Mus musculus: one gene and its partners. The protein of the gene in region 1 purifies or fractionates together with the protein of each later gene. This does not show direct contact. Links are inferred from orthologs where the notes say so. Each region holds a gene or a part of one and is shown on either strand. Other genes may lie near its edges.

Region 1 (6,553 bases):
AGGCTAAGTTTATCCCAGAACCTTCTAAGATGACTAGCTAAGTGCATACCCCCATCAGAGGTCCAGAGTCACATACTCAGTCCTGCATCTATACAAAGAAGCTCAACTCTTTTTGAAAGCTAGGGTTTCGTGTAGCCCAGGCTAACCTTGAACCTGAACTCATCCTGTAACTGAGAATGACCTTGAATAATTCTTCTTCTTCTTCTTCTTCTTCTTCTTCTTCTTCTTCTTCTTCTTCTTCTTCTTCTTCTTCTTCTTCTTCTTTCCTAGACAGGGTTTTTCTGTGTAGCCCTGGCTGTCCTGGAACTCACTCTGTAGACCAGGCTGGCCTCGAACTCAGAAATTCGCCTGCCTCTGCCTCCCGAGTGCTGGGAATAAAGGTGTGCGCCACCGTGCTTGGCTTGAACTCTTTATCTTCTAACCTCCGTGTTCTGAGTACTAGGACTTCGGGTATCGGCAAACATGCTCTGTTGTTATGTAGTGTTAGGGGCCAAATCCAGGGTCTCAAACATGCCAGTCAAGCCTCTACCCACTAAGCTACGTCCCATCCGCAGGCTCTCTGCATTTTAATAAGTGCTACAGGGTTTTCTAATGTGACTCCCTCAAAATGACTATAAGAATTAAAAACTGCCAGTGTAGCTGTGTCACTCTTTTTTTTTTAAGAGAGTGATTTATTTATTTATTATATGTAAGTACATTGTAGCTGTCTTCAGACACTCCAGAAGAGGGAGTCAGATCTCGTTACGGATGGTTGTGAGCCACCATGTAGTTGCTGGGATTTGAACTCTGGACCTTCGGAAGAGCAGTCGGGTGCTCTAACCCACTGAGCCATCTCACCAGCCCTGTGTCACTCTTTTAAGACTCAGACTTCACTTCTGTGGTTGCAGCCTGGCCTTGGGCATTTTGACAGCACTCCTGCTGCATCTGGGCAGCCTGAGTCAAAGATGCTCCTTGGCCACTTAAGCTGCAAACAGGCCAGGGAAACAACGGTGTGACTGGGAAGGAGGGGCCTGGACAGTAGGTCTGTGACTGGTGGCTTAACACTTAGGAGACGGCTATGAACAGGTGCCAGGATCCCTGTCCTGAGCTCCAGTTTGTTGTTCCTGGAAACTAATCCTTTCTTCTGGCCTCCTCCTTTGCCATTCTAGACTGGTGAACTGCTGCCTCACTTCTAGCTTCTGCCGTGGTCTCTTCTCAAGTCTAAGCACCAACCGGAGCCTCACTGAACTGGACCTCAGTGACAATACTCTGGGAGACCCGGGCATGAGGGTGCTGTGTGAGGCACTCCAGCACCCAGGCTGTAACATTCAGAGACTGTGGTAAGTCTGTGTGTGTGTGTGTGTGTGTGTGTGTGTGTGTGTAGAATGATTGGGAGAAGACAGTAGAGAAAGATGATTAATGAATGGGATTGAGAACAAAACCCAATGAACTAAGAAGTAAGCGTTTGGGAGAATATCGCTTCCATGCACAGTATTGGGTGGACTGTGGCCACTCAGGTTTGGCTGTTAGGAGTTCAAAATCACATATCCATTGGTTGATTTGTTCTGTGTCTCTCTCCCTGGCTTGTAGGTGGCCATTTTCTCCTTGAATCTTTGCATCATCTTCTAGCTGTGTGTCTGTCCTCCAACCTCTAACAACCTTTCCTTGTACTGATACCAGTCCAACGGCACTAGGGCTAACACTGAATTCTGTTCAACGACCTGTTTGAAGCACCTGTTTCCAGTATGTGTTAAATAAAGCTAGAGGGAGGGTCCAGGGGCCCAGCTGGAGGGAGGGTCCAGGGGCCCAGCTGGGGACTCAGATGCTCAGAGTACAGCATATAAATCACAGTAGGCTGAACACGTGGGTAGTACTAGTGAGGCCAACCTGAGGAGATAAACTTTTCATCCCCATAACAGCATCTGTGATGAAACTTCCCAGTTCTCACCCAGAAGCCTGGTCCATGAAGAAATGGAAAACACAACCTTTGTTTTGCCACCAACAAATAGCTCCTTTCAGCTCTTCTTCATCTTCCCTGTCTACAGCTTTCTAAACTTACCTCCAGTCCATTCAGCCAGCACACTTATAATAGAATCAAATGTGCTGATACGTGAAGCTTTGGAGGGACACATTTGGGCCTTTAACACATACTCTGGATTCATGTAGCATCTGAATTTTTAACAAGTTACATAGCTCTTTAAATTTCATTTGTTTGTTTATTTACTTATTTAAAAGACAGGACCTCACTATGTTGCCCAAGCTGGCCTACTTTCTGGCTCCAGCACTCTCCCTTCCTCAGCTTCTTTTGTGGGTCTAAGAGCGTGAGGTGGCGTCCTGCCATTACGTTCACTTCTTTTGAGTATTTCTCTATCTCCCTATTGCTCGTACTATATATCTTTCCAACACCATTTGTAAAAACTCAATTTTATTTTCTGTATAAGCTGCTGTTCACAGTCTCTCATCCTCACTTGGCCAGCCCAGGGCCAGGAGCACTGTGCTGGATGTTACAGTGAGCTTAGCTTATGACTCTGGGGAAGAATTCCTGTTATTTCGCTGTGGTCTTTGGAACACCAGGGCACACCGGTCTTTAAGAGTGTGTGTGCCTCAGAAGGATGTTGGGTGTTTTGTCTCTCCACATCTGCTTTTTCTTTTCTTTTAGATTTATTTATTTTATGTGTCTGAATGTTTTGCCTGTACATATGTCTGTGTACCATGTGCATGCCTGGTGCCCTTGGAGGCCAGAAGAAGGTACTGGAGTCCCTGGAACTGTAGTAATGGATAGCTGTAAGCTACCATGTGGTGTTGTGAACCAAACTCGAGGTGTTGGAGAAATAGCTTGGCAGCTAAGAGCTCTTGCTGTACTGGCAGAGGACCCAAGTTTGGTAAACAGACATATATGCAGGCAAAACATTCATAACACATAAAAATAAATAATTCTCCCATTCTGCTCTCCCAGTGGCTTTATATTATTGAGAATTATTTTATTATTTCTGAGTGTTATTGAAAACTAATGATTACTCCATCTTTCTTTGTTGGCTTGTTAGCTGTAGATTTTTGTGCTGTTATTTTGATGAATTTTCTTTTGGATGTATTCCCTACATTAGCTTAACTGTAGCATTGCCACAAAGTCCATTCCATAGTATATTACTTTCTTTCTTTTTTAAAAAAAGATTTACTTATTTATTTTATGTATATGAGTACAATTATAGCTGCCAGCCCCACTTGCTCCGGCCTAAAGATTTTTTTATTATTATATGTAAGTACATTGTAGCTGTCTTCAGACACACCAGGAGAGAGCATCAGATCCCATTACAGATGGTTGTGAGCCACTATGTGGTTGCTGGGATTTGAACTCACGACCTTTGGAAGAGCAGTCAGTGCTCTTACCCACTGAGCCATCTCTCCGGCCCCATAGTATATTTCAATGTCTCCCCTTCTAGCCTGTGAGCTATGACTGTCTTATGCTTCTGAATTTCACACACTCCATTTTGTGCTTTATTTTGTTTAACTCCAAGTATATGGAACAAATAAAATTTTAAATTAAAAAACCCATACACTTAAAAAAGAACATTTCTATTTTTCTTTTCTTTAAAAACTTATGGTATGTGCATGTGTACGCGCGCGCGCGCGTGTGTGTATGTGTGTGTTGTGTTACCGATGTCTGTTGTATGTGGGCCTGCACACGTCACAACATGCATGTGGAAGTCAGTGGGCAAGTTTGGAAATTGGTTCCTGACACAGACAGAGATGAGGTCATAAGTTAGGGTGGCAAGAGCATTGACCCGCTGAGTCACTTCCCTGGCCTTACTGTGGAGAACTAAGTGGATCCTGAGAAAACTCCTCTCACTCCTTTGGAGAGCCGTGCTTACAGCAGCATCATTATTATGGACTTAGCCTCAGCTCTTAAAGGTTTCAGCCCCTCTCCCATCACTACGCTGAAGACCAAGCTTCTGACTGTGGCCTCCTGGGGACAAACCACAGCCAAACAATAGTGCAAAAAAGGACTCACAAATGGGGGTGAGGGGTGCACGCTGACCCAGCCCTGAGTGTTGCCTAGCTGACATTTCCCCACAGCTCTTCTCTGTGGCTCACAGAGATCTGTTCACCAAGAAGGAAACGGAGTGAAGGCCACATGTACCAAGAGGTTGGCACTGTGGGAAGCACAGAGAGACCCTAACTTCCCCCATCCTTCCTATCGGTGTCTTCCTGAGTGTGGCTTTGGTGTCCCTGACCCACCCAGCAGAATAGGAACTTTATGAGATCACCGGTCAGTTCTGCTTCCTAAATTTCTCCTCGGTGTGAAGAGAGCACGGGGATCACATTCTCCTAACGCACGGAAAGACAAAAATGTCATGGGAACGAGAACTCTAGCCACACGCATGCCTCGTGAGGGGACTTCAACCATTAGAAACGCTGGAAGGCAGGGGCTCCAGGCTCACCACCCTTGTCATTTACAAACCAGGATGTACCCTTTGTGCACCCGAAGTGCAGACCAACACGAGCTTGGTGCATTCACCATGAGGCCCCCTCCCACTTCTAAGGTGTCCTGTGTGCTGCTCAGGAATTCTGGTTACCCCAGAACACATCGGGCTCCTGCTGAATACAGAAACTGCATCTAAACTGAAGAACGATAGCAGGGAAGGAGGCTGTGCGAGCCGGCTCTCCATCATGAAATAAGCACCTGAGACAGTCAATTTAAAAGGAGGAAAACTTTGTTTTGGCTCATGGTTCTAGCCTATGGTCAGTCAAGTCTGTTGTGATGAGCCAGAATATCGTGGTAGCATTATATGGTCGGGGAGTCTATGCACATCATGAGGCTAAGGAACAAAGGAGGAAGAGAGCAAGAGTGAGGGGGAAAGAGACAGACACACAGACACACATACAGACAGAGACAGAGAGACAGAGAGAGACAGAGACAGACAGAGAGACAGAGAGAGATAGAGAGAGACAAAACAGTATTTCAGTATCTCCCTAAGGTCACCCCCTTCAGTGTCCATACATCCCATGTGTCTTCCTCTAGGCTCCACTTCCCAGAGGTTTCAGTCCCCGCCCCCCATAGTGTGAGCGTGTAGGCGTGGGACACGCATAGGATCTGGATCCTGAGAGAGGCCTCTCTCTGATGTCTGATTCTGTTCTCGCTGTGAAGGTTGGGGCGCTGCGGACTGTCCCATCAATGCTGCTTCGACATCTCCTCTGTCCTGAGCAGCAGCCAGAAGCTGGTGGAGCTGGACCTCAGTGACAATGCCCTGGGGGACTTTGGAATCAGATTGCTGTGTGTGGGACTGAAGCACCTGCTCTGCAACCTCCAGAAACTGTGGTGAGTCTGGCCTACCTCCCTTAGGCAGCTCTGCTGTGGAGGCCCAATTCAGGAACTCTGCTTCAGGGAGACACAGCGAGCCATCATCAGCTCCTGTGTGAGGATGAGAATATTCTCAGCGGCCTGGAGGGCTTCCTGCGCTCCCTTCTGCTAGTTTGCCAGTCGTTCAGTCAGCCAGTGATTGCTGTGCGGGGAGTTAATGGGAAAATATAGCAGTGGTGTGTATGTCTGTGCGTGTGTGTATGTTTATAAATCATCAAATAAACTGTCTTTAAGATATCCGAGGAAACAGAAGCACTGCTAAGCATCATGGTAGAACGGTTTTGAGAGGTCATAATAAATCCTCACACTAAATAGAAAAAAAGCAGCGCTTAAGCAATGGAATATTTATTGTGTGGGGTCCTTACTGAACGCTTCTAGGAGACGAGAATTCTAAAAAGTTAAGAGAGTGCTTGCAGGCTAGGAATGCAGCTCAGTTGACGGAGTGCTTGCCTAACATATGTGAAGCCCAAAGTTTGATCCTTAGCACCAAATCAAACCAGCAAACCAGATGTGGTGGCAGAAAGATCAAAGGCTCAAGCTCATTTTTGGTTACATATTTTTGGCCAGGCTGGGCTACATGAGACCCTGTCTCAAAACAAAAACACAAGCAAGCAAACAAACAAACAAAAACAAAAAACAAACAAACAAACAAACAAAAAGGAACAAAAACCCCACTTGATCAGGTGGTGGTGGCTCATAGTTCATCACCATGATTATAGAAAACAAACGCACAACAAACAAATAAGAAACTGGACTAGTGTTGGTAAGGACTTGGAGAACTGGAACCTTTTGTCTCTTTAATGCAGTTGTTCTCAACTTGTGGATTGAGACCCTGTTGGGGGTCAAACAACCCTTTCACAGGAATTGCTTAAGTACATCAGAAAATACAGATATTTACAGAAGGAAAATCACAGCCATGGAGTAGAAACGAAAATAATGTTGTGGTTGGGGTCACCACAACATGAGGATTTGGATTAAAGAGTCACAGCACTAGGAAGGTTGAGAACCCCTGCTCTAGTAGGAACGTAAAACAACAGCAAGCAGGAACATAAACCACGGCAACCAGCACAGTGATTCTCACACGAGTATGGACCTGTACTTGATCCATGTGTTTTCGGGTGCATCTGCCAGCTATGCAACCGTGTTTGCAACATCAAGTCCAGAGCATGTCAGTAACGGCAGCCAGAGGTTAGAAACTTCTCCGTGTCTGTTGAT
Region 2 (6,553 bases), on another chromosome or scaffold:
CCCGAATTCTGTCTAATGTAGTAGGGAAACTGACCATCATTGTTGAGTGACTGGCTTAAGGTCACATGGCTAATTATTGCCAACCTCATAATCAGTTCTGTTCTTGAGGCAGGTGTGCATTGTTCGAGGCACATTTAAACATTCCAAGTAGGAAAAGCTTCCTTATATTTAACGTCACTTCTTGATGTTGTTTTTACTATGTAACCACTGGAGTGAGTACATCTTTAAGAGTTGCTTTATATAAGTTCCAGTAAGAAGCTATATAATTTTGGGGCTCCTTGACAAGAAAACAATTGAGACACTTTGAGGTGACAGGGAAGGGTCCTTAAACCAAGTAGCTGATACAGATTCTACATGGCTACCTGTCTGTCTATGACACTGCCTCCGAGAATACCAGATGTTTCCTTGCAAAGTTTTTTGGTTTACAAAGATTAGCATGTGTAACTACAGGCTTAATTATTTTTATATGCCATGGGTATTCATACCTGTTTCAAGTCAGGATCATTTTTCCTTCTCTGTTAGGAATGTATGCTGGGTGGTTTCAATGAAGCTTTCTCGGGAATTTCTTGAGGATGCTAAAGACTCACACTGAGACATGAGCCGTGCACCCGGGGCTCCAGGGTCTAGAAAGCAGAGCCAAGGTTTCTCTGAGTTCCAAGAGTAGTACTGAGCTAGCCAGAGCCCATTTATACATGGGTTTAGTGTTAAACATTCAATATGCAGGAAACTTTACTGTTAAAACCAAAGGTGTCTTTTGGATATTTTTTTCTTAAATACTGAACGGGGGCTGCTTGTATAAGCCTGTGTTTCATAGCAGTAAGTCACTTCAGCAATAGTGTAATCACGTTTGTGTTTAAGTTTATAACTTAATTAGCTCTGTGTTACATTTAGTTTTTCTATTGAATTAAAATCAATATTGTTAATGGTGTTAGAATATACATACAGTACTTCAAGGTGAGTGTGCTTTATAAAGACACTAAACCCACCCAAATATTATATCCAAGTGATCTATTAAACCTGAGTGGCAACCTTTGTCCTCAGACCTTTACATATTTTATTTGGGGTTTAAAGACATTCTGTTTCGTAGCATGAACATGGTAAATGTGCCACAACACATAACCTTTCATGTAAATACTTTGTTATTAATTTTTAGAAACTTTCCTTATGTTAATCATTGGTTATGTATGTTTAATTTTAAGTCTTACTTGTTTGCATTAAGTGTTTTATAATACAGAATTAAGTATTATTACAGGGATATCTAGCGTTCAGAAAGTAGGAGTTTTGAAAAGCGTTGCTATCCTGCTAGCGAATAAAAAATTCCCATTTTAAAGAGGTGTGTGACTCTGAGAAAGTTGAGCACTGCTGATGTCAACCTTGCAGCCTTGTATTAAAAGTGAGTCAGGAATTTCTGTAGCTTTGTTCCCCACCCTCTCTTAGGAGGCAGGCAATAGTGCCACGGTGAGAACCGATAGGTTTGCAACATTGTAGCTGTTGCTTCCGGAAACAGCCGAAGCCCTCCTTTTAAAGACTCTTTGACAAGCCCAAGCGTTTAAGTAGACAGTTTAGAAACTGAGGACCACCAGTCGAATAATCAGACTTTATTGCCTGGTAGTCAAGTTCATGTTGTTCTTCAGTGAGATTCCTAAGGTTTGTCAGGTCAGCATGACACTCATGCCAGGTTGCTTTCCTCCCTTTTAATTTGTTATAGGAAACAGTATCTGAGAAGAATTTATACTGCCAGGTCTTCTTCACCCTAATGTGCATTTTGTGTCCAGGGTTTTTCCTGTGTCCCTTTTATATTTTGTCTTTTAATAATGAGACTTGAAAAGAAACAGAAACACACCAACACTTACAATAATTAAGAAAAAGAGGCCATGGATTTGAAAGAATTCAAGGGGCAGGGGTGGGGTGGGAGGGTGGGGTACGTGGGAAGGTTTGGAACAGGGAAATGAGGTAATTATATTACAGTCTTCGTTTTTAAGTTATTTAAAATAATCAACTGCCAAGTTGATTATGGTTATGATGAGTTTAGACTCTGTTAAAGCATTAAATTTTTCTTCCATGTTCTAATGTCTACTTGATGCAGTGCATCTTTGAATGAAGAGACCCGGTACCCGTCTTGCTGTTGGCATCAGTCATCCCTCTGATGTGTTAATGTGGCATAGGGGGGTGCATGCACGGGCATTATTGGATGCGTTCCAAGTCTCAAGGAAAATTATGTGTAAAGAGCTGAATTTTCAGTATTGTCTCCTTCCAGTGAAAACTGATGTTGACACAGTCTGCCATAAAAGAAAACCTTCCTATTGAAACCCAATATGGGCATTTCTCCATAGTTAGAAGGACAGTGGTCTACTTTCATTATTACCTGGTCATTTAGAATAGGTTACTGACTTACTTGCTAATGAAATTGCAAAAAGTAATTGATTTTTCAGCCATGTGCTATGTAGGAAAAATTAGCCTAGTATTCTTACCTTTTTTTAAACAGACATTTTTTCTTCCTCTAGCAAGTGGGCACAGTGGCAGGGGGGTGTTGGTTGTTGCTGATGGAAAAGGACTCCAGTAGTTTCCCTGTAGCTTTGCCATTTTAGCCAGCCCTCAGCTGGCCACAGGTGCGACTCAGAAGGGCTGGCTTTTCACTTTCTCAAATATAGGGTTTTTTTTTTTTTTTTGCATTCAATACCAAAAAATTAATTGGTTGAACTTTTCCAAATGTGGTTTTCAAATACAGTAAAAAAACAGATTTAAAAGTTGATGTTAGGACATATGCTTCATAAAGTTAAGATTTTTTTTTAAAGCTTTGTAGGAAAAAAAAAAGCTGTTTAAAGGTACCGTTTCTTCATGTTGGTAATTTATAAGTACTATTCAGTAAGAAACCCACTGCACTGTTGTTTTTAAAAATGATTTTTATATACAGAGTATCCAGTGGGGCTGAGAGCTTGGATCTTGCTATGCTGCTTTCATAGTTTCCTGTTAAACTTAAGACAGGAAACTGGACGACGCTGCTCTGTAGCTGTGGGCTTCTGGTTGTGTTTAGCAGTTTCCCTTTCAGTCTCTGGACCCCTCCCTCCGACAGCCTGTTGATACTCTCAGTGCTTTGCTTCAGCTTTCCTGTGACCATCTCACTCTCCAGAACGTAGTTTCATCCATTCAAAAGACAGCTTTGCTTTGTTATGTGCAGTGAATACACTCATGAAAACTTTTATACCATGACTTAAGTTTTAGTAAATTATGGTGTTTCTAGTCACCCATGCAGCTCAACCTTTAACTAGAATTCTAGAGTGGAGACATTTGCCTGAAGCAGGACTGTCTTTTGTTTGTTTGTTATTTCTATTTTTGTTGTTGTTGGTGGTGGTGGTTTTTAAGACTAAGTCCTATGTGCTAGGCTGGCTACATACTCCTTACCTCGCTGAAGATAAGCTTGCCCTTCTGCTCTCTGGCACCTGCCTCCCAAGTGCTGGGCTTGCACTTTTGACTCACCCACTTCCTCTGTCTCACAAGTGCTAAGCTTGCAGGCATGCAACACCATGCTTGTTCTTGTGGTGCTGTAGATGGAACCCAGGCATGCTAGACACACACTTTAATCAGCTAATGCAACATACTCAGTAAGAGTGGTCTTTTAGCGAGTCTACTTTAATATTTCTTCATTTCCTAAAACCGTAGTCCTTCTTGAAATGAGATGTGAGATAAGTCATTTTAGATAGATGTATTTTTTTAAAAGTAGTTGGACATTACAGAGTAGTAGTGTTCCATAGCTTAAGAACAAATAGGAGGAAATGTAAGTCATTCTGTCAAGTGAAATTTCTGGAGTCGTCTTAGTATGGAAAATTATACTTTAAAAAATAATAACGAGGGGATAAAAGTTGATTTTTTTCTGACTTACTGATTCGCAATGCTGGAATTCAACTTTAAGAAATCTGATTTCTCAGAATCACTAATTTTTTTTTAAAAAAATATTTTAAACAGCACTTTAAGAAACAAAAGAGGCTAATCCCTGAGAGAACCGTTTGGAAATACTTCGTTCAGCTCTGCAGTGCACTGGACCACATGCATTCTCGAAGAGTCATGCACAGAGGTAAGAGAAGCACGGGAAGTCTGCAGCAGCATCTTAAGTGACATTCGCCACCAAGCACTTTAAGATAGCTTCCATTCAGTCCACGGCATTACCTGTTTTTCATAATTTATGTCTAAATTATAATTTGTCAGGACTGTAAGCGTTAAAGTGAAGCCCTGCTTTATGATAAATAATGCGAATTATGCTTTGCCCGACTTCTCTCAATACCTTGCTGGTTCTCTGGGTGAGAAAGGGAAGCTGTGGGGGACAGTGCATGTGCATTAGGAAGAGGGTTTGTCGTGTCTCCTCCAGACAAGCAGACTGTGGCATCCCAGCCTCAGGCCTTCAGGGATGCTTCATGGTCAGTCCAGTTGTTGGGCAGACATAATGCACTCAAGTCACTAAGTGACTGATCCACTTATTTGGGGCTGTCAGATCTGAAGCAAATTATTTAGGGAATTGTGATTTCTGAAGCCATGAAATGAATACAATGTACATAATATTGCTAAGGTATGATTTTATAACTTGTGTAAATGTACCAATTCCTTTTTCAGCAGCATGTTATTTAACACCATTAAACAAAGGGGGACACATGTTTATTTTGTGCCTTAAATTTTCACCCGTATTCCTTGTGATATTAATTGGACTAAGAAGTTTGAAATATATGAGAATAATTCAAAATATAGTGAGTGACTTTCGGTTCAGACCTTCATATTTAATAGACATTTTGAATCCTTCCACAGGAGGAAATTTCGTATTCCTTTCAGATTCCCAAACTTATAGCATCTCTCACCTGATCTCTTCATTTATCCACAGATATAAAACCAGCTAATGTGTTCATTACAGCCACTGGGGTAGTAAAACTCGGAGACCTTGGGCTTGGTCGGTTTTTCAGCTCCAAAACCACAGCTGCACATTCTTTAGGTAAGAGGCATGATTTCACCGCTTCAGTCCGTTACGTGTGTGATTGTGTTGGTCACGGTTTAAAACAGGTCACACCAGCTCTACGGCGCTGCTTGCCTAGGAGTCAGCTGCTCCTGACAGGTGCTCACAGTTCCCTCTTACCTTTTACACGATTGCTTATTTAAACTGAAGCAGGCCCTGAGGTTTTTGTTGTTTGTGCTGGTTTTTTGAATAATACTGATAAGCCTGGCTTTTACTGTTGCCATGGAGAACTCCTTTTGTCTTATTTGTAATGACTGTGAGCTAATGGAAAACTGTATTTTGGAAGAAGTCTTCACTGGATATTTTTTAAATGCCAGAGGTAATAATTCATACATGTTTATTTATTCAATGGGCGTGTAACTGTGATAACTATTAAGAGAGAAAACCTAAGGATGATGACTCATAGTGAATGAAGAGAAACAAAATTTCTCTATTTACAGAATGGAAGAAATACCCACAGTTGATTCATTTTTGAGTTAACATTATTTTGATGTCCCTTTGCACCTAAAATAGAATTGATGTAACTACCAACACTGTATTAGCAATGGGAAGAAAAATTATTTTGGATCAGAAACAATAAAAATTCCTAGAAGAAATGTTTTTTAACTTGTGTTAAAAGTAGATTATCTCATGACTCCCCAAGTCACCTTTTTTCTTCTAGTGCATATAAAATACAGGAAGTGTTGATTTTTAAAATAAGAACTAAAACAAAATTAAGTTGGCCTTAATTTAGTTGTGTCTATCTTTGCTGTCATAATTTCCTTGAAAGTCATTAATTCTTTGAAAGCAGTCTTTAGATGTGGAGTGAGGAGCTTTTAAATGGGCTCTTAAAGAACAGTGATGTAAACTAAATAGCCAAACAGGGAAATAAGCTTCCGGATACATGGCTGGAGACATTTGAAGGCGTTTGTTCCTAAGCATTGTTCCTGAGCTTCCGTGCACCTTGAATCTATCACTTATTAATATTTTGTTTCTAGAGTAGACTTTGGCTTGACGGACAGTGTCGTGGAAATGCTTACACTTCCCTGAATTTCACTTTGTTAGTTATGGAGAACATATGATTCCACACTGATGTCCTGAAGCAGTTAGTTCCTTCACATTTCACACTTACAGTCACATAACTACAAGGCCTTTTCCAGGTATAAGATTTTGATCTGAAACCTCATAAGGAATCAGCAAATTTGCATAACCCTTTGATAAAGTTTTATTGGAGAAGTTACAATTCTTATAGTAGGTGTGGTAGACAATTTCTAGGAAGAAGCCATAGCCCTTCCTACTAAAGACACTGCCACTCTGTGCTGCTCCTCTGATTGCTGTCCTAACAACACCTTGTCAGTAACTCACTTGAAACACTAGTTTATCATTGCATGTGCACACACACTAATTGCACGTGCTTGTACACACATGCCACTTGTTTAAATGCTGCGTTGCAGTCACTCTTGAGTAGGCTGTAGTGTTTGAGCTTTACCGAACTAATGATTAACCTGAAATCCGAATCACACAACAATTTTGAACAATTCAAAGTGGATTCAGTCTGAGTTTTACTACATTTTGCAA
Region 3 (6,553 bases), on another chromosome or scaffold:
CCATCTCTCTTCCAGTCCATCTCAGTCCATCCCACCCTGCCAGGGTCCGAGTCACTCCAGAAGCTGAGCAGCCATGACATTTGCTGAGGACAAGACCTATAAGTATATCCGAGACAACCACAGCAAGTTTTGCTGTGTTGACGTTCTGGAGATCCTGCCTTACCTGTCCTGCCTCACAGCTAGTGACCAGGTGAGCGAGGGACGGCACAGCTGGCCAATGGCCTGGGCCCAGGGCTGTGCAGTCCAAGTGTCAGCCTGGCCTGGCCTTTCTCCCAGGTCAGGATCAGCTTCCCCTTCCTTTCCTGCTTTTCTGACTTTTAGTGTGTTCAGCTTGTTTTTTTCTGACCTTGCTAAATTCCTTTCCTTTTTATATTGCACTCAAGAGTGTGGCAGGGGGTCGGCAGGTTTCCAGGCTCTGGCTCCCTGTTTTCCGGAACCTTCTCTTTGTTTGTCCTGGGGTCCTGCTTGGTTTTGATTCATTCTCTCCTAAGACCCTATCTTGGCACAGAGTCTGCAATGTCAGACCTGAGGACTCTGAGCCACCAGGGTCTTGCCACACCAGGACGTGCTACAGGGCTGCACTCAGCACCCAGTGAAGTGGCAAAACTGGGTTTATGTTTTGCTTCTTCTCAGATGGGATGGGCTCCTGTGCCCCCAGAGCTGCCTCTGTGTGTGTGCTCTGGGGGCCTCCTGTCCTAGGTATCTCGGGACTACTATGGTTTCTTGTGCAGATACTGTTAAAGCACAGGGCTGGGCAGTCAGGAGAGCGTGCTGGCCGGCCTCGCCCTGTGTTGGACATTCTTCGGGACACCCAGTCATCTTGTAAGTCATCTAATGAATATTTCCCATGTGTCACTTGCTTTTCTCTTCTTCCTCTTAATCTTCTTCCAAGTCTTCCTCTTTCTTTTCTTCTTCTTTCCCTCTACTTCCTCCCTCTCTCCCTCCCTCCCTCCCTCTCTCCCTCCCTTACTTCCTCTTCAGACAAGGTCTTCTTAGGTAGCCCAGTCTGGTCTTGAACTTGTAGTCCTCATACCTTAGCCTCCCTGGTGCTAGGATTACAAACTGATTGGTCATTTTCAAGTGGGAATCCAGTGAATCAGCAATCCTATAGCTGCTGTCATCTTCCTAGAACTTCCCCAGTATGCTCCCCTGCCTTGCTTCCCATTCTTGGCTCTCCTTCCCTTTAGTCTCTGCCCCTTTCAGAGCATTGTGGCTGGGCCTCTTCTCCATCTCAACTCATTCAGACCCTGCTCCTTGCTTTAGGGGCTCCCAGTCAAGCTTTGCCCCCTCTCAGTGCTGCTTCGCTTCTGCTCGGCCTCTGACTCCTCATCTGTAAAGTAGGAATGGTCATTGCATTTAATGCGACAATGCCTGCAAACCTTGATGTGGCCGCAGCCCTTTCCCGGCAGCTTCCTTTATTGTTGTTCATTGATCCTCACACCGTACTTGGGCTACCATCGTGGCCTTGGCCTGCCTCTCACTCAGTTTCAGACAGCTGCCCACTTCCTGTGGCTTTCTCTTGTAGTAGCTTTCTTCTGAGTAGAGAAAAGCCTAGGCCACCTGGCCTAAGGAGGCTGTCTGTGCTGTCTTCCAGGATCGACTGCGGGCTTCCTACAGGCAGATCGGGAACCGGGACACACTCTGGGGACTCTTCAATAATCTCCAGCGCCGGCCTGGCTGGGTGGAGGTCTTCATCCGGGCACTGCAGATCTGTGAGCTGCCTGGGCTGGCTGATCAAGTGACTCGAGTTTATCAGAGCTACCTGCCTCCGGGTGAGCATCCTGCCCTAGCCTTTTTCCTGGGCCATTGCCTGTTCCTCCGGCCCACAGTCTCCCCCTTCCTTCACCCTTGGACCTTCTGCCTTTCTGTCTCCATCACTCTCCATTGTAGCATATACCTGGATTTAGATCCAGCTGAGCCACTCACTAGCTATATGTCCTTTGACCATATTCCTTATTTTTTGAGTCTGTCACAGTGGGGCAAATGGCCACATCCCTCATGTGTGGCTGCACTTAGCTGGGGTTCCACATCTTCCCTTTGCCCAGCGCAAGGCACCTGCCATCATGTTTGTGGCTCTGGTGTTTCCTTCTGTCTCCATCTATACAGCGTAGAGAGTACAGAGTCTACACCCAGTCACTTTCCCTACTCTCCATTTCTATTCCCTGCCCCAAGGTTGCTCTGAGAGCATCCAGGTTCTAATGATAACACCCAACTGCCTGGTGGCCCCTTAAGTCCTCTCAATGTCACTGCCACGTCATGTGACCAGAGGGGGTTTAGTATTAGAGCTTGAAGAGAAGATCTGGGAAGAAAAACCAAGCCAATCTTGAACACACCATGTTTGCTTTTGTTTCTCTTTTCCTCCCTTCTTCCCATGTTGGTCTCTTCATTTGTGGATGCTGCAGTGCTCTCTCAAATAAGTAATGGCTATGGTAGGGTCAGAGATGGGCTGTGGCAGGGGTCGGTTGGGGATGACAGCTGTGAGAAAGCCTTGGGACAGTGGAGGAAAGTGAGTATAACAGTCAGGCTGGTGAGAGCCCTGTGCCCTGCTCCCCCATCTTTGGTGCCACCTTTCTTGTCTTTCCCAGCTCTTCTTTTCCTCCTATTCCCTCCCCATTGATGCTTATCATGTCTAATGAATCTTTCTTAGTCAGGGTTTCTATTCCTGCACAAACATCATGACCAAGAAGCAGTTGGGGAGGAAAGGGTTTATTCAGCTTACACTTCCATACTGCTGTTCATCACCAAAGGAAGTCAGGACTGGAAATTAAGCAGGTCAGAAAGCAGGAGCTGATGCAGAGGCCATGGAGGGATGTTCCTTACTGGCTTGCTTCCCCTGGCTTGCTCAGCCTGCTCTCTTATAGAACCAAGACTACCAGCCCAGAGATGGTACCACCTACAAGGGGACTTTCCCCCTTGATCACTAATTGAGGGAATGCCTTACAGCTGGATCTCGTGGAGGCATTTCCTCAACTGAAGCTCCTTTCTCTGTGATAGCTCCAGCCTGTGTCAAGTTGACACAAAACTAGCCAGTACAGAATCCATCCCACATCAGGTCATGGAGTTATTGAAGGGAGACTAGATGCCCCAAGCATCCAGGCCTCTTCTATTACCAAGGTACCTCTGATTCTTTCTGGACATCACTATATCTTTGTACCTTAGGGACCTCACTCCGCTCCCTAGAGCCACTGCAGTTACCAGACTTTCCTGCTGCGGTTTCTGGACCCTCTGCATTTGCGCCAGGTCACAACATCCCTGACCATGGCTTACGAGAGACACCAAGTTGCCCCAAGCCTGTCCAGGACACCCAGCCACCAGAGTCCCCAGTAGAGGTAAGTCCTCACAGTCTGTTTTAAGCTGCCTGCTTTTGTGTGCCTGTCTGCCCACTTCTGCCCACCCAGCCTTCCAGAAGCCCCTTCCTACCTCCTGAAAATCTTTCCTGCTAAGAATGCTGGGGTTACCTAACTGGCTACCTAACTGCTGGCCATACCTGTGGACCCCTTAGCATTCTGTCTTTAGCTAGCTAAGAGGTCATGGTTTTGAGGTCTTTGCAGTGGTCATGTGACATGTTGAGCTGGGTAAAAAAAAAAAAACAAAAAAACAAAAAAACAAAAAACTGGAGGTTAAACCAGATTTGAATGTGAGGGAGGTGATATGAGGGCTCAGGAAGTCATGGATGGGTGGTGACAGAGCTCTTATCAACTGTAAAGTCAGGTATCTGGAAGATAACTAGTTCTACTGAGATGAAGTGAGTTAGCCATGGGGTATAGAAGAAACCCTAGGCCTAGACAATGGGTCTGAAGCCATAGGGTCTGTGCAGAGACTGCTGAAGAAAGGGCAGTGGTTACAGAGCTAGACACACACATGGGGAGGAAACTTGGGCAGTGCCTGCTTTTTGTTTTGTTTTGTTTTGTTTTGTTTTGTTTTGTTTTGTTTTGTTTTTATGTTTTTTAAAGCACTTGAAGTCATCCCGAGAGGCTGGGGATGTAGCTTTCAGTTGGTGCAGTGCTGATCTGGCATACACATATCCCTGAGCTCAGTATCCAGCACCATAGAAACTGGGCATGATGACATATACCTCTAAGCCTGACACTCAGGAGGTGAGAAGCAGGTGAATGCAAAGTTCATAGTCACCCTTGGTAAGTTCAAGGCTAGGGTGAACATAAGATCTGATCCAAAAACAAAACAGCAACAGCAAAACCAAGTAGGTACTAGGATTGAAGACTTATATTTGGCAAGTATAATATTGAAGAGCTACTTCACTCTTATATGTGAAGGTTTCTGAGGATCCTGGGCTCTAGAGGAGGAGCTGAGGCCTGTAGGAGATACCCTATAAATATCTGCTGCCCTTTGTCAGCTCCTGGGAGAAGCAACTGCTTTATCTCATTTCCTCTGTTTCAGAATTCAGAGCAACTCCTCCAGACCAACTCCGGGGCCGTCGCGAGGATGTCTGGTGGCTCTTTGATACCCTCTCCTAACCAGCAGGCTCTCAGCCCTCAGCCCTCCAGAGAGCATCAAGAGCAAGAACCAGAACTGGGTGGCGCCCACGCAGCAAGTATGCATAGAGTGTGGAATTACAGGGTCTCTTGGATCCCTCGCAGGAAGGTTAGGGTTACAGTTACCATATGGCCTTCCTTAGACAGGAGGCAGGGTAGAAATAAAAGGTATTCGCTTCACAGAGTATGTTCTGTGTGCACGCCTGTGTGTGCAGTAGTGGCAGCAGCAGCTTCAAATGCAGTCATTTATGTGCACATGTCTCAGCTGGGTAGGTCTTCTTATCTCGCTGAGTTTTCTCTCAGGTGTTTACTGACATATACATGTGTTCTTCTACTATCCATTACCTGGTACCTCTTCATTCTCTTTTCTTCTAGGACAAAAACCCAACTCATGACATCTGGGCAAGGCTCTAGGTAAAAGAGAAGCAGAGCTCTGAGCATAGGCTCAGAACTGGCCTATTTCTCCTGCTCTGTTCTGTGGTCAAAATAGATTAAAATTTTAATTAATAGATTAAAATTTTAATCTGGCCAGCCCAGATTAAAAGCACATTGGAGGGTGTAGTTTTTTGCCCTGTGAGTGTGTATTTTTGTACATTGCTGCATATGAGAGAGAGCTAAGGCTGTTTCTGCACTCAGGTAAAAGGTAGTGATTGTCCAGGACCTGAAGACAGGAAAGATAACATACAATAGTAGCTGATGAAGGAGCTTTTAAACACTGCTCTTCACAAGGGGATTTCTAGTTCCCAGCTGTGGTGGTTTGAATGAGAATGGCTCCCATCGCCTTCTACATCTGAATACTTGGTCCCCAGTTGGTGGAACTGTTTAGAAAGAACTAGGGGGTGTAGTATTGTCAAAGAGGTAGGCTTGGAGGTTTCAAAAGCCCATGACATCCCTAGTTAGTGTTCTCTCTCTCTCTCCTGCCTCATGCTTAAGGATAAGATGTAAACTCTCAGCTACTGCTCCAATGCCACACCTGCCTGCTACCATGCTCCCACCATGATGGTCATGAACTCTAATCCTCTGAAACTGTGAGCCCCAAATTAAGTAATTTCTCATATGAGTAGTCTTGGTCATGGTATTGTCACAGCAATAGAAAAGTAACCAAGACACCAGAAAATCACACTAAAGTGGTTCAACCTCAAATGAGTCTGTCAGGGGACAGAACCTGGTGTCCCCCCTTAGGACTACAGTCTATCCACCCCAACTTCCAGGCTAGAGTGGCTCACCTCTACTTTCTAGACTGTGTTCTGTTTGTTCCTGGTGCCTTAGGGTTGCCATGTGAACAGTTGAAGGTCGATGGAATCCTCCTAACGCTCCCAACTTTCCCGAATGGCACTTCACTGTAGCATGCTTGCGAGCACAGGTTCTAGGAGACTTTCTGTCAGGTTTAGGGGGAGACATCAGACATCACTTCTGGCCTTTGTCAGCCATGGCAAGTGTATCCTCAGAGTTCTGTGAAGAGTCTGATGTCATCAACTTTATGCACTTCCTGATTCCCCGGATCAGACTCCCTTTCTGGGACTACTAGGTCCCTACCCCTGGGGGTGTGTGCCAGCGGGTCAGTTGACTGGTTAGTGGTTCTGTTGAGCCATCCTGCTATTGCCCCATTCAGGATTTCTCCTGCTAGAAGCTAGTGGGGGCGGTAGTAAGAGGAATGCCTCAGGACATTCGTACTCATGTCCTAGGACAAGGTAGAAGAGGCTGGAGTGGGAGAAGAGGCAAGTGTCCAGGGTGGAAGGAAAAAAAAATAATTAGAACAAGTTTTAAACTTCTGGGTGCAGATGAAGGTAGAGCCCATTTTACTTTGGTGATGGGACAGATGAGGGTTTCAAGGTAACGGCTGAGGTGCAAGAGTCTTCTCCACAGGAGGAGATTGGGAGACAGGATGTGGAAGGGACCATGTGATCAAGGACATGGGGACCCTTCTCTAGCCCTTAAGTTAAAACCACCCTTTGCATTTGTTTCTGCTTTTGTCTTCCCCACCTGTAGATGTTGCCTCTGTTCCCATAGCAACCTATGGACCTGTGTCTCCAACCGTTTCCTTCCAGCCCCTTCCACGT
Region 4 (5,641 bases), on another chromosome or scaffold:
ACATGGAGCTAGATGAATGTTCCCAATTTGGTTCCTGCTAGCTACATGTACCCCTGGGCACCAGAATATAGCATTCTCGTGTAGTGTAGATAAAGAATACACACCGACTCTGAAAAACAATATTAAAATAGAACATAAAATACAGCAACACAAACGAAAGCAAACAGAAATACAGCAATACAAAATTTTGAGACAGGATCTCATCATGTCACCCAGGGTAGTCTCTTACTAAAGAATTCTCCCTCAGCCTTCTGAGTAGTAGGGACTCTAGCACCCAGCACTGTACCCAGGCAGCATGCGTCTTTTATTCTACATGCTGAAATGATATTTTTTAAAATTCTGAGCTAAAAAAAAGTATATTATTTAAATCCATTGTATTTATTTCTTTTTTTTAAAAAAATATTTAGTTTATCTGAATGGCTGTTTTGTGTGCACGTATCATGTGCATGCCTGGTGCCCTCAGAGGTCAGAAGGGAGTGGGAGTGTCAGAGCCCCTGGGACTGGAGTTTCAGTGGGTGCTGAGAATTTACTCTGGGTCCACTGATGAAAAGCACTAACTTTTCACCTCCGAGTCATCTCTCCAGCCCCCTTTTTAGTCTCTTTTGAGACACTGTATGAATAGCCCAGACTCTGGAACTCACTATGTACTGTGGACTGGCCTAAAAGTTGCCATTTTCCTGTCTCAGCTTCCTAAATATCAGCGTGCTCTAGTCTTTTATGTTTCCAAAATGGCCTCTAGAAAATTCAACACTCAGTGATTGATGTTCGTGTCTGTTCTGCACAGAGCTGAGCTGGAGAGCCACTGTGGGGAGCCCCTAGGGCACCTATTCCTCTTCGGTGCCTTCTTGGTCCACTGAGACAATGTGAGGAATCCCAGGCCCACCTCTCCCAGAAATCAGTGCCTCGCTGTGTGGTTCTAGTTCCCTGGTTAACCTCTATGGACTCTGCATTTCCTTTACTCTCTCCTCACAGACGATATGAATGCCGAAGGGAAGAGAGATAAAAGCGCATTCATGAACAGCCTGAATAAAGAAGAAAAGGAGAGCTGTAAGTCTGGGCTGGTCCTGCTGTTTGGGGAAAATGAGAAATACAAAAGGGGAGGTTATCTCCTTATTGGTAGGTTGAGGAAGGTCTAGTGTGTGTGAACACCAGTGAAGAACAAGCTTATAGAACTGTTTTATCCTTTTAAATCTAGAGATAATCATAAGATAGTGACACCTTTTCACTAATTAAAAAATATTCTAGAGGAATGGAAATGTATACATTCATTTCTCAGTTCCATAAAGCTCAGCTGGAGGCAGCTCGGTCTGTAGTTGGAACTGACCTATGGTGCCAGCTGAGGAGCTGTGACCGCGATGAAGGCATCTGAAGTGATTCAGTTATGAGGGTAGCTAGGGTAAAAGCCAGGCTCAGCTGTCAATCCTCCATATGGCTTTTAATTTGTAACTTCTTGTTATCAACCTAAAATTTGCTTTCTATCTCCAATTTCTAGGGAGCCTGTTACAGAAGAATAATTCAGTGTTGCCCACCTCAGGTAGGATTCCTTCCTAGCACATTGGTCTTCCTGAGGGGGAAGCAAGGGACCTCCAGGTCTGCAGGTCAAAATGTTCTGTCCATTACACAGCTCTGATAGAGCAGGGGAAAGGTAGAGACCAGACCCCAAGAAGAGGTACTTCCCTGCATGAATGACTGCTCTCAGCTCCCCTGAGAGATGCAGGGATAAGAAGAGAACAGAGAGAATAATAAAAGGCTCACCACAGGAGAGAGGGGGTGAGGGAAGAGGACTGTGTAACTGTGCAGACTTCAGGTCCTAGAAATAGATAGACATAGAGTGAGGGCAAGCTTCTCACACACCTCTTCTGCTTCCTAAACTCCACCTTCCCCTAATGTGGTCCCCCTACTTGGTCCATGTCCCTCCCACTGTCTCAGGGGCTCAGCAGTGCCTGTTGTCCTACTGACCTCTCTTTTCTCCTTTCCTGTCCCCCAAATGTCAGTGAATCAATAAAACTGAGCCCATCTAATGCCCCATTCCATCCCCTTTCGCATTGAGACATCCTTTGTAAGGCAACAGCTCCTTCAACATAATTCTGGAACAAGCCAGAGCCCCTCATGCTAGGTTCCTGGAGGAGGAGCTGGCTGTGAGCCTGAGCTCTGGCCAGCCTCTAGTTGCCCCTGAGTCAGCACATTCCTTACAGAGGAGAGCTGGGGAGAGGTATAGGCTGCTCTCCTCTGGATGCTGCCCATTTTATTTTCTTGGCTATTTGTGTGTGTGTGTGTGTGTGTGTGTGTGTGTGTGTGTGTGTGTGTGTATTTGCACACAAAGAAGGTAAGAGCCACAGAGTGGAGATCAGAAGTCTCTCAATGTGTGTATACATTTATTTCAGTGTGTATGTGTGTGTGCATTTCCCTCAATGCATATATACATATATACAGATATATATACACACACACATATACACACACACATATACACACACATATATATACACACATATATATTGCATATATATATAGTGTGTGTGTATGTGTTTCTCTTAGTGTGTGTGTATAGTGTGTGTAGACTTCTCTCAGTGTGTGTAGTGTGTGTGTGTAGACTTCTCTCAGTGTGTGTGTGTATTCATTTTTCTCAGAGTATGTGTGTGTTTGTGTATGCACTCCTCTCAGTGTGGTGTGTGTATGTGTCTGTGTATGCATTTCTCTCAATGCATGTATATGTGTAGAGTGTGTGTGTGTGTGTGTGTGTGCATTTGTTTGTGTATGCACTTCTGTGTGTGTGTGTAGTCCTGGAGACTAAATTTGGGATTTGAAAGAGAAATTTTTCCTTCCATGAGAAACTCAAAAGCAGGGGACTGGACAACTTGACTTGAGGCTATACCTCTTTCCTCTTCTTTATCTTCCCACAGTCCCTGTGACCCTGGACAAGTCCTCAGCTGACCCAGACCTCACCTTTTCTCAGGATCTAAAGAAAGTGACCTTGTATATTGTAGCTGGAAAAGCTTCCAATAGGCAGGCAAAACCTCGACCATTCTACCCTTTCCACTGTGTGAGGGGTTCCCCAGGCCTCTCCTCAGGCCGCCAGGTGTGGGAGGCAGAAATCCGGGGGCCCTCAGGTGGGGCATGCATTGTGGGCGTGGTTACAGAGTTGGCGCGAGGGGCCCAGAGTCAAACCGTGAGCGCGCAGAGCTACATATGGGCACTGCGGATCTCGCCCTCTGGATGCCAGCCATTCACCAATTGTAAAGCCCAGGAGTACCTCCAGGTCTGTCTTAAGAAAGTGGGTGTCTATGTGAATCATGACTGTGGAGAGGTCGTCTTCTATGATGCCATCACTAGCAAACACATCTATACTTTCCAAACTTCCTTTGACGGGAAGGTCTTCCCCCTTTTCGGGCTCCAAGTTGCCTGCAGCCATATCACCCTGAGCCCTTAGGGCTGCTCGCTTGTGTGTTCCTCAGTCTCTTCCCACCTATCACTCAGGACGGGATGAGACAAATGGTAGAAGTGAAGTGTGGCCCTACTCTGACACTCTACATGCCACACAATCACCTGATGTTTCCTCTCCCTGTCTCCCCCAAGTAGAGAAGACAGTGGAATACCCCCCAAAGACTATACACGAGGTTTTTCAGTGCTGCACTTGGTAGCAGGACCTCAGAAAAGCTTCTGGCTGCACCCTGCTGACACAGGGGTGCAAGGCGCTGTCCAACACATTGGCTGCTGCTTTCTCTACTGTATTACCTGAAACTCTTGTGACTCATCCTTTCCTGAGATCTGAGAACCAGAGGTTGTACAGAGTCGGCCAGTTCTGTGCCAATGCCCCGTTTGTAGATTTGGACAATCTACAATCAAGAATAAAACCTTTTGACATTTCAAAGCAACTTTGTCATCCTCAACAGCTCTGTCTTCTAATTAAAAGCAAAATTGTAAACCACCCTCCATGTTGATTTAAATTTCTAATTTTGGGTTAGGTATATCTATATTCTTAGCCTCATCTGTCCCTCCAGCCTAAGGCTGGTTACCACTGGAATAGGTTAAATGATTGTCAAGGGAACCACACATATAGCATACTACGTTTTACAATAAAATTTTTAATGTATTTTACATTTCTGTAGTGGGGGAGTGTTGCAGGATTTTCCCTGTCCAATTACATTAGTGCAGGCAAGGCATGTGATTGGACAGGGAAAAGGGAGGCAGAGCGAGTAGTTGCAGAGACAGAGAGGTCTCAGGAGAACGGAGAAGGAGAATGGAAGCTGATGTGGTGTTATCAAAAGGTCAGAATAATTGGGTTAAAGCTTTATTATTATCAATAGGCTCTGAAATTATTTATTGGCATTTTATAAATTGTGATTCCATTCATACATAAATCTAATTGGTTAACTATAAAAAATGGTTAATTAAGCTTTAAGAGTCTGATTTTACTGGGTTACTGGGTTTTGTATTATCAAACCTAGAGGGTGGTGGATCTATTTGGTTACTGGAGTGTGGGACTGCCAGTTACAAAGGATTATAGTGGAGAGAGAACTAGAGGCTCACTGGACAAGCAAGCCAGTTACTTCAGGGGCTAGCTCCAGAGAGTTGGCAGTGGCGGCGGCAGGAGCACGGGAGCATGGTCCAACCCCTCGGGGAGTTGGCAGGTTCCATTTTTAATATTTCCCGCAACATTGTCAGTTACAAGAGTTGACTTGGTCATGATGTCTGTTCATAGCAATGAAATCCTAGCTAATACACAGAGCTACACAGCGAGACTCTGACTCAAAATGGAGAGGCAGGTATACATTCTGTAAATTTCTCATTGGCAGGTATGTTATCATTATATCCTTTGTGTTATGTACAAACCAAATGTTCCTCTACAACCATAACCTACGCTGTTAACATTGTATTTTCTGCTCTGGCTGCATTTTCTGATTTGTTTAAATACAACAACCTAAGAATGTTTTCTTTCTTACAGTGTTGTAGGCCTCAAGTTGAGAGTAACTGTTCAGGTGTCAGACTGGGTCAAAATAGTTGCTTTCAGCTACTTGGAAGCTGCCTGCCAGTTTTCCAGACAATTGTCTCTTTTGACTGCTGTTCTTTAAATATCTTAAAGGCATTTTCTTGGGATCATAAACAGTCATCCTGGAACTCACTCTGTAAATAAGGCTGGCCTTGAATCAAGAGATCTACCTGCCTCTGCCTCCCAAGTGTTGGGATTAAAGGCATACTCCATCACTACCTGGCTGATTCTGACTATTCTTTATTATTATTTTTTAATATTTATTTATTTATTCTATGTAAGTACACTGTAGCTGTTTTCAGACACACCAGAAGAGTGCATCAGATCCCATTACAGATGGTTGTGAGCCACCATGTGGTTGCTGGGATTTGAACTCAGGACCTTCGGAAGAGCAGTCAGTGCTCTTAACCGCTGAGCCATCTCGCCAGCCCTATTATTTTTATTGAAAATTGTTTTTATCACTGTGAGTCTTCTTACCCACTTTGAAGACAACTGAAATGAAAGCTGTATTTTTTTTCTATAACTACATGCTGTAAATATATGTGTAGAAATGATCTGCCATATTGGATACTGTTTTTCTCCAAGATACTATTTATTTAATATGTTGAATATGTGTTATTTCCAGAGTAGACAGAGTTATGTAGTCATTAT
Region 5 (6,553 bases), on another chromosome or scaffold:
TGGACACAGGGTTTCTCTGTGTAGCCTTAGCTATTCGTTCTAGAACCCACTCTGTACACCAGGTTAGCCTCAGACTCAGAGATCCCCCCTGCTGCTGCCTCCTGAACGCTAGGATCAAAGGTTTGCACCACCAATAACTGGCTATGTTGTATTCTTTTAAAAGATATCATTTATTATGTGATCTAAGCTAAGCACCTTGCATGGCACCTGCATGGCCCTCGCAGTAACCCTGCCAGGAAGAGGTAGTGTTCCTTGTTTTGCTGGGGGATCAGGAGCTTGAGGCCAAAGCCAGTGCCTCACACAGGCCAAGGACACTTTCTCATGCTGAATGTTTCTGTGTTATAAATGAGCAAACATAAGAACCCTAATCATAAATATATATAATCAGTTATTAGCGTAGCAATGTGCATGTATGCACACATATGTATGCATATATACATACCTGTGCCCTTAACATATGAATGTATATGTTCCTACTATGTGTATGTATCATGCTCACTATAGCTGTCTCCAGACACCAAAAGAAGCTACAAAGGCTCAAAGTTACAACCCTTTAACGGCCCCATAAAGCACTTGCTGGGATTTGAACTGGGGTCCTTTGAATCCATAGTCAGTGTTCTTACCCACTGAGCCACAGCTCCAACACTGTATTATGTTCTCCATATGTCACCTATAGAGTTATATTCATTCTCAGCATATGCTGTAATTCCATATAATTTAATGGCCAGGTAAGGTAGGTAAATGCCTTCATTTCTCCTGCATCACTATGTGCTTGCCCTTGGTATACTACTGTGGGCAAATGACTCACTCACATAAGCTGGTTAGTCCACCTGTAAATGGGATTTTAGAAGGACTGTTTCTACCCAGAAGAGCTGTTGCAAATATTTAATGGGGAATGTATATTAAATGTTTAATATAGTCAGACTAAGTACAAAATGTCTATGATGTTACTGTTAAAGCAGGAAAGGCTTTGGTTTTTTAACAGCTGAGTTTGGATGTTTAGCCAAGCCACCCTGAGACCTGGACGGCAGGTTTACTCTATCTCTTTACTCTCTTTTTAGGAAGAAACTTTTATTTATGTCAGACATTCAAACATTTATGTCATTCAGAGTTCTGGGCCTAAGTTAAACTCCTTCTGTCCTTGGTAGAGAGTGAGTTTGAGAGAAAAACCCACTAAGAATCCTTCCTAGCCAATCAGAGAAGTACACACCTTTTTTGTTTTGTTTTGGGTTTTCGAGACAGGGTTTTTCTGAGCCCTGGCTGTCCTGGAACTCTCTTTATAGACCAGGCTGGCCTCGAACTCAGAAATCTGAACTCAGAAATCCGCCTGCCTCTGCCTCCCGAGTGCTGGGATTAAAGGCGTGCGCCACCACCCCCTGGCTAGAATTACACATCTTTAATCCCAGCACCCAGGAGGCAGAGGCCGGGGGAATCTCTGTGAGTTCAAGCCCAGCCTGGTCAACGTAGCCAGTGCAGAGCCAGCCAGAGACACATGGGGAGGGCCTACCACAAAACAAAAGGAACAAAACCCTTCTTGCCAGGCTGGTGACTTCTAACTTCAGTCACTGAGGTGTGAAACAAGAGACTTGTCAGTTCAGAGAAGGCCTAGGTTATCAGACCTTGCCTCCCAGCCACAAAAGAGCACTTTTATTTCAGAGGTTGCCAGGGTCTGAGCGGCACTAGCACTCATGCTCTCCCCTGGAAACACTCTCCTTCCATGTGGCCCACACAGTGCGGAGTGTGCAGACTATGACTCCCTGCCGGAGTCTAAGACCCAGCCACACTTCCAGGGCGTGACGGGACTGCGGAACCTGGGCAACACCTGCTACATGAACGCCATCTTGCAATGCCTCTGCAGCGTATCTCCACTGGTGGAGTACTTCCTGTCCGGAAAGTACATCACAGCTCTTAAGAAGTAAGAGGAGGTCTTCCCTGAGTCTGCCCCACCCCAGCTCCCCCAGGTGAGGTGAGGAAAGGACCCGCTGGAGTCCTTGTGAAGGGCCACAAGCCCAGACACAGTAGGTCCCCAGAGAACACACATGGAGGGTGCGGAGAGCAAGGTGGACAGGGCTCTGGTGCAGGGGCGTGGACGGATCCCTTGCCACGGAGACTGGGTCTTTTCTTTTCATTAAATCAGCAGGGAATATTTGCCCTTTGCCTCTGCTCTTCTTCTCAGGGACTGCAGTGAGGTTACCACCGCCTTTGCCTACCTGATGACAGATATGTGGCTTGGGGACTCAGACTGTGTCTCACCAGAGATATTTCTGTCGGCTGTTGGCAGTCTTTACCCAGCTTTTCTGAAAAAGACACAGCAAGATGCGCAGGAGTTCCTGATTTACGTCCTCAACGAGCTTCACGAAGCTTTGAAAAAGGTAAGAACTAACAAGTCTGAGCTAGGAGATGTAGGCTGTATGTGTATTCAGACTGCATGGCCTGCCCAGCACCTGCTCTGGTGCTGGGGTCCTGAGGAAAATGTCCAGGTTAGGATATTTGTTATTTAGTGGTTGTTTTGCTTTTTTTTTTTTACTTAAAATTTTAAAAAATTTTTATTGTTTATGCATGTATGTCTGTGTACTACTTGTTTGCCAGGTTCCTATGGAGGCCAGAAGAGGGTGTCAGACAATTTCCATCCACCATCCATGTGGGTGTTGGGAATTGAACCCAGGTCCTCTGGAAAAGAGCCAGTGTTTGTTTTTGTTTGTTTGTTTTTTCGAGACAGGGTTCCTCTGTATAGACCTGACTGTCCTAGAACTCACTCTGTATACCAGGCTGGCCTCCAACTCAGAGATTCCCTTCCTGAGGTCTGGGATTAAAGACATGCGCCGCTACTGTCCAGTGCAGCCAAAGCTCTTAACCACTGAACCCTCTGTCCAGTTCCTAAAATTATTTTTTTTATTTACTTTTATTTTTTTCTGAAACTAAGTTTTACTGTGGAGCCCAGTCAGGTCTATGACTCGGAATCTTCCTGCCTCAGCCCTGCTCCATGTGCAGATATTATAGACATCTGAAATTCTCACATTCCTGTGCTGAAGAGCCCAAAATTACTCCAGATGTGCTCAGACATTCAGAGGATCATAGCCCAACTGGTTCAACAAAATCAAACAGCTCAAAACAAGACAAAACCATTCCTCCAAGCCAACAGGAAGGCAAAAAAGCCCAGGTCCAACTGCCCAGGAGGAATTCACCTGAGTTTAAAACCAAGTGTCTAAACACTGCTTCTTTTTCACAAATACAAAGCAGCTCGGGCTGGATGAAGCTTGAGATCAAAGTCCTCTCAGGAAAGCAGTTCAAGGCCAACCTGCTTCCAATGCCTGCCTAGCTTGCCAAACTGTTACCAATGCTTTCTAAGGGTCAAAGCCTGAGCCCTAAAAGCCTTAACAAGCTAGTTCCAGCCCCCTGCCTTCCTCTCTAGGACAGTGAGAGGCAGTCGCACTGGGGAGACACAGGAGATCTGTCCGGCTTGCCTACACCGGGAAGAACCCATAAAGAAGTTGGTTCAGTCGTCCTCAAGTCAAGTTTGGGTACTGACATGAGGTTTAGATTCAAATAGGTGGCTAGCAGCGTAAATAACTAAGAGTCTGTTCAAAGCCAGTGCTGCGCATTCCTGAACCATCACTGTATTGGTACCCATCTCTCTTGCAAGATAGTCTGACAAGTTGTTGCAGTTGTGTTTAATCTCCTGGGCTCTTCCATCACCCACACCAAGCTTCATTCAGCCACGAGAGCAGCAATTCCAATCTCTTGAGGACCATTGTTTTTAGTCTTCTGATAGCTAACGGGAGGGCACAAATGTCTCCCCGTGAAGTATCTGATCTCCTGCCAGGACAATTATGGTCATTCTTCAGAGCCATCCTGAAAGGGAAATAGCTGCATCACCAGATGTCACTCATGGCTTATGCTGTCAATGTCTTAATGTTCCCTCTGAATCCAAACTGTTTTCTCATCCACGTATCACTTGAATAGAGAAAGCCGCCATTCTGTTTTCCGTGGTTTTTTGTTTGTTTGTTTGTTTTTGTTTTTTCGAGACAGGGTTTCTCTGTATAGCCCTGGCTGTCCTGGAACTCACTTTGTAGACCAGGCTGGCCTCGAACTCAGAAATCTGCCTGCCTCTGCCTCCCAAGTGCTGGGATTAAAGGCCTGCGCCACCACGCCCGGCTTCCGTGGTTTTTATGTGGAATTTGTCCTTTTTCACAGCACTGCCGAAGAAGAGTGAATGAGAAAAGAACAGGCCAAAGCTGCTGCAGGAAGGTGCCGGCCCAGGAGACCTCCATCATCACCCGGCTGTTTGAAGGACAGCTCAGTTACAGCATCACATGTTTAAAGTGTGAGAGCTGCACGCACAAGAACGAAGTTTTCACCATCCTCTCCCTCCCCATCCCATCTGACTATGAATGTTCCCTCCAGGTAGGGAGCCCCCAGCTCCTGAATATATTTTCTTGTTTTTGAGATGTGGGGGGAGGGGTGCGTGGTAGTGGTGGTTCTTGTTGTAATCCTGCCTGAGTCTCTCAGATACTGAGGATTACAGTGTCGGCTGTTATTTCCTACAATTTTAAGTAGGAAAGGGCTGCATTATGCCTCAAAGCCATAAATAAAGGTGGTCCATGAATGAACAGCATTTTTAAAAAGCAGCCTGTTATAGTTACTGTGGATTTAATTTTATTTCTAAATGTACTCAAGGCAAAGCCCCACTTAAAACTTTAAATATAGGTGAGGTTTATTCAGTCTCTTGAGATGAGCAGTTTGTGATTTCTTACAATGATATCATGGCTCCCTACCCACACTCTATAGTTTAAAGCTAGAACTAGTCATAATAGATTCTTTTTAAAAAGATTTATTTTGGGCTGGTGAGATGGCTCAGCGGGTAAGACTGCTCTTCCAAAGGTCCTGAGTTCAAATCCTAGCAACCACATGGTGGCTTAGAGCCACCATTAACAAGATCTGACGCCTGGTCCGTCTGAAGACAGCTACACAATGTATTTATGTATAATTAATAAATAAAAATTTTAAAAAAGATTTTTTTTTTTGGTTTTTTTTTTTTTTTTCGAGACAGGGTTTCTCTGTGTAGCCCTGGCTGTCCTGGAATTCACTTTGTAGACCAGGCTGGCCTCGAACTCAGAAATCCACCTGCCTCTGCCTCCCAAGTGCTGGGATTAAAGGCGTGCGACACAACACCCGGCTAAAAGATTTATTTTTATTACACAGTGTATGCTTGTTTGCCTGCATGCATATGTGTGTACTATGTGCGTGCTCAGTGCCCGAGAGGGCCAGTAAAGGGCGTCAGATTCCCTGGAATTGCAGTGCCATGCGGTCTGGATAGAAGCTGTGTACTGTGTGGAGAGAGGGGGTCTGCAGCGTAGTTTTCCTCTCTGATCGTCTTGACCACAGTGCTCAGAGTGCTCTGTAAGTGAGGGGTGGGTGTGGGAGGAGAGAGCTTGGTTAGGAACCTTTGGGAATCAGGAAACATTTTCCTTGCACAATTGCACAAACCTGTCTTGTTCTTTTGAGACTGTAAAAGCACATCTGTTGATGAGTTTTTGTGTATACAGCTGGGGAACAACAGAAGCCTGTTATGTGTTAATTTTGTTTTCCACTTGATCAAAAGGCTAAATGAAGTTCACTAGGAAGAATGACAAGTTCTGGACTGAGGCACTGGCAGGTCTAGTGGAAACAGTCTGTTTGTTCTCCTCTAAGCCAAGATCTTGCAGAAGCAGGACCTGGCTGTAGACGTCATTTTCCTGGGTGTGGACTCAAATTCATCTGAAAAGTGTCACCCAAAACCATGAGATATGGTCATTTTTCAGGCCCACCCCCTGTTGAGCTGAGTCAGGGGATACATAATTATAAAAGAGCTGTCTGATTTGTTGGTAGAAATTTCAAAGTCTGTGTTTGAAAAGGTAAACCAGAAATAAACCAGAAAAGGTAACGCAATAGAGTGGGAAAAGAATCTAAGCCTATCCTAACAGTCCAGTGAAAAAGCATCTCTTGTTGCTAGGTAGATTTTTACTTATTCTTTACCCGGGGTCTCACTATGTAGCCCTGGCAGCCCTGGAACTAGGTATGCAGACCAACCTAGCCTTGGACTAGAAGAGCTCCTCCTGCCTCTGGGTTAAAGGTGTGAGCCACCCACCAGTCCTGGCTCAACAAACGAAAACAGTTGCTAAGCAGATTTTATGGGACTCGGGCCATGGGGGTTGGTAGAGTGTAGTTCCTGGGTTTGTTCCTTAGAAAAATTCCCAGATGCACATTTGCACAGCTCCTCCAAACTTCTTTGGTTTGGTTGTGTGTATAAAAGACGGGTCTCTTTGAATTACACAGGCTGGTCTCAAACCAACCATTCTCCTGCCTCCACCCAACATGCAAACACCACAGAGTTCTGCTTTTTCTTCTATTGTCAGTGAGGATCCCGGGCCAGCAAGTGTTCTTTCTCCCCCAACAGGACTGTCTCCAGTGTTTTTTCCAACAGGACACACTGACCTGGAGCAACCAAATCTATTGTTCCTTTTGTGAAATCAAGCAAGAGGCAGCTGTGAGGACCACGATTTCCAAGGTGCCG

Evidence for each region.
Region 2: the proteins of Nlrp3 (region 1) and Nek7 purify together in Homo sapiens (affinity purification with western blotting; 9 studies listed by BioGRID and IntAct, with this or other methods). This does not show direct contact. The link is inferred for Mus musculus from reciprocal best matches to the Homo sapiens genes NLRP3 and NEK7.
Region 3: the proteins of Nlrp3 (region 1) and Mavs purify together in Homo sapiens (affinity purification with western blotting; 4 studies listed by BioGRID and IntAct, with this or other methods). This does not show direct contact. The link is inferred for Mus musculus from reciprocal best matches to the Homo sapiens genes NLRP3 and MAVS.
Region 4: the proteins of Nlrp3 (region 1) and Trim31 purify together in Homo sapiens (affinity purification with western blotting; 3 studies listed by BioGRID). This does not show direct contact. The link is inferred for Mus musculus from reciprocal best matches to the Homo sapiens genes NLRP3 and TRIM31.
Region 5: the proteins of Nlrp3 (region 1) and Usp50 purify together in Homo sapiens (affinity purification with western blotting; 3 studies listed by BioGRID). This does not show direct contact. The link is inferred for Mus musculus from reciprocal best matches to the Homo sapiens genes NLRP3 and USP50.

Annotation. Positions count from the first base shown.
Region 1 is NC_000077.6:59,550,623-59,557,175, forward strand, and holds part of Nlrp3 (NACHT, LRR and PYD domains-containing protein 3), read left to right. Parts: intron 1-1,148; coding exon 1,149-1,319; intron 1,320-5,125; coding exon 5,126-5,296; intron 5,297-6,553. UniProt on the Homo sapiens protein: Sensor component of the NLRP3 inflammasome, which mediates inflammasome activation in response to defects in membrane integrity, leading to secretion of inflammatory cytokines IL1B and IL18 and pyroptosis.
Region 2 is NC_000067.6:138,514,047-138,520,599, reverse strand, and holds part of Nek7 (serine/threonine-protein kinase Nek7), read left to right. Parts: intron 1-3,963; coding exon 3,964-4,072; intron 4,073-4,867; coding exon 4,868-4,975; intron 4,976-6,553. UniProt on the Homo sapiens protein: Protein kinase which plays an important role in mitotic cell cycle progression. Required for microtubule nucleation activity of the centrosome, robust mitotic spindle formation and cytokinesis.
Region 3 is NC_000068.7:131,238,721-131,245,273, forward strand, and holds part of Mavs (mitochondrial antiviral-signaling protein), read left to right. Parts: intron 1-15; 5' UTR 16-73; coding exon 74-190; intron 191-731; exon of another isoform or gene 732-822; intron 823-1,594; coding exon 1,595-1,772; intron 1,773-3,159; coding exon 3,160-3,329; intron 3,330-4,398; coding exon 4,399-4,552; intron 4,553-6,482; coding exon 6,483-6,553.
Region 4 is NC_000083.6:36,906,288-36,911,928, forward strand, and holds the end of Trim31 (E3 ubiquitin-protein ligase TRIM31), read left to right. Parts: intron 1-972; coding exon 973-1,047; intron 1,048-1,492; coding exon 1,493-1,534; intron 1,535-2,903; coding exon 2,904-3,430; 3' UTR 3,431-3,930; downstream 3,931-5,641.
Region 5 is NC_000068.7:126,775,750-126,782,302, reverse strand, and holds part of Usp50 (putative ubiquitin carboxyl-terminal hydrolase 50), read left to right. Parts: intron 1-1,732; coding exon 1,733-1,915; intron 1,916-2,176; coding exon 2,177-2,372; intron 2,373-4,194; coding exon 4,195-4,404; intron 4,405-6,436; coding exon 6,437-6,553. UniProt on the Homo sapiens protein: Deubiquitinating enzyme that removes conjugated ubiquitin from specific proteins to regulate different cellular processes. Regulates the inflammasome signaling pathway by deubiquitinating 'Lys-63'-linked polyubiquitination of the PYCARD/ASC adapter protein.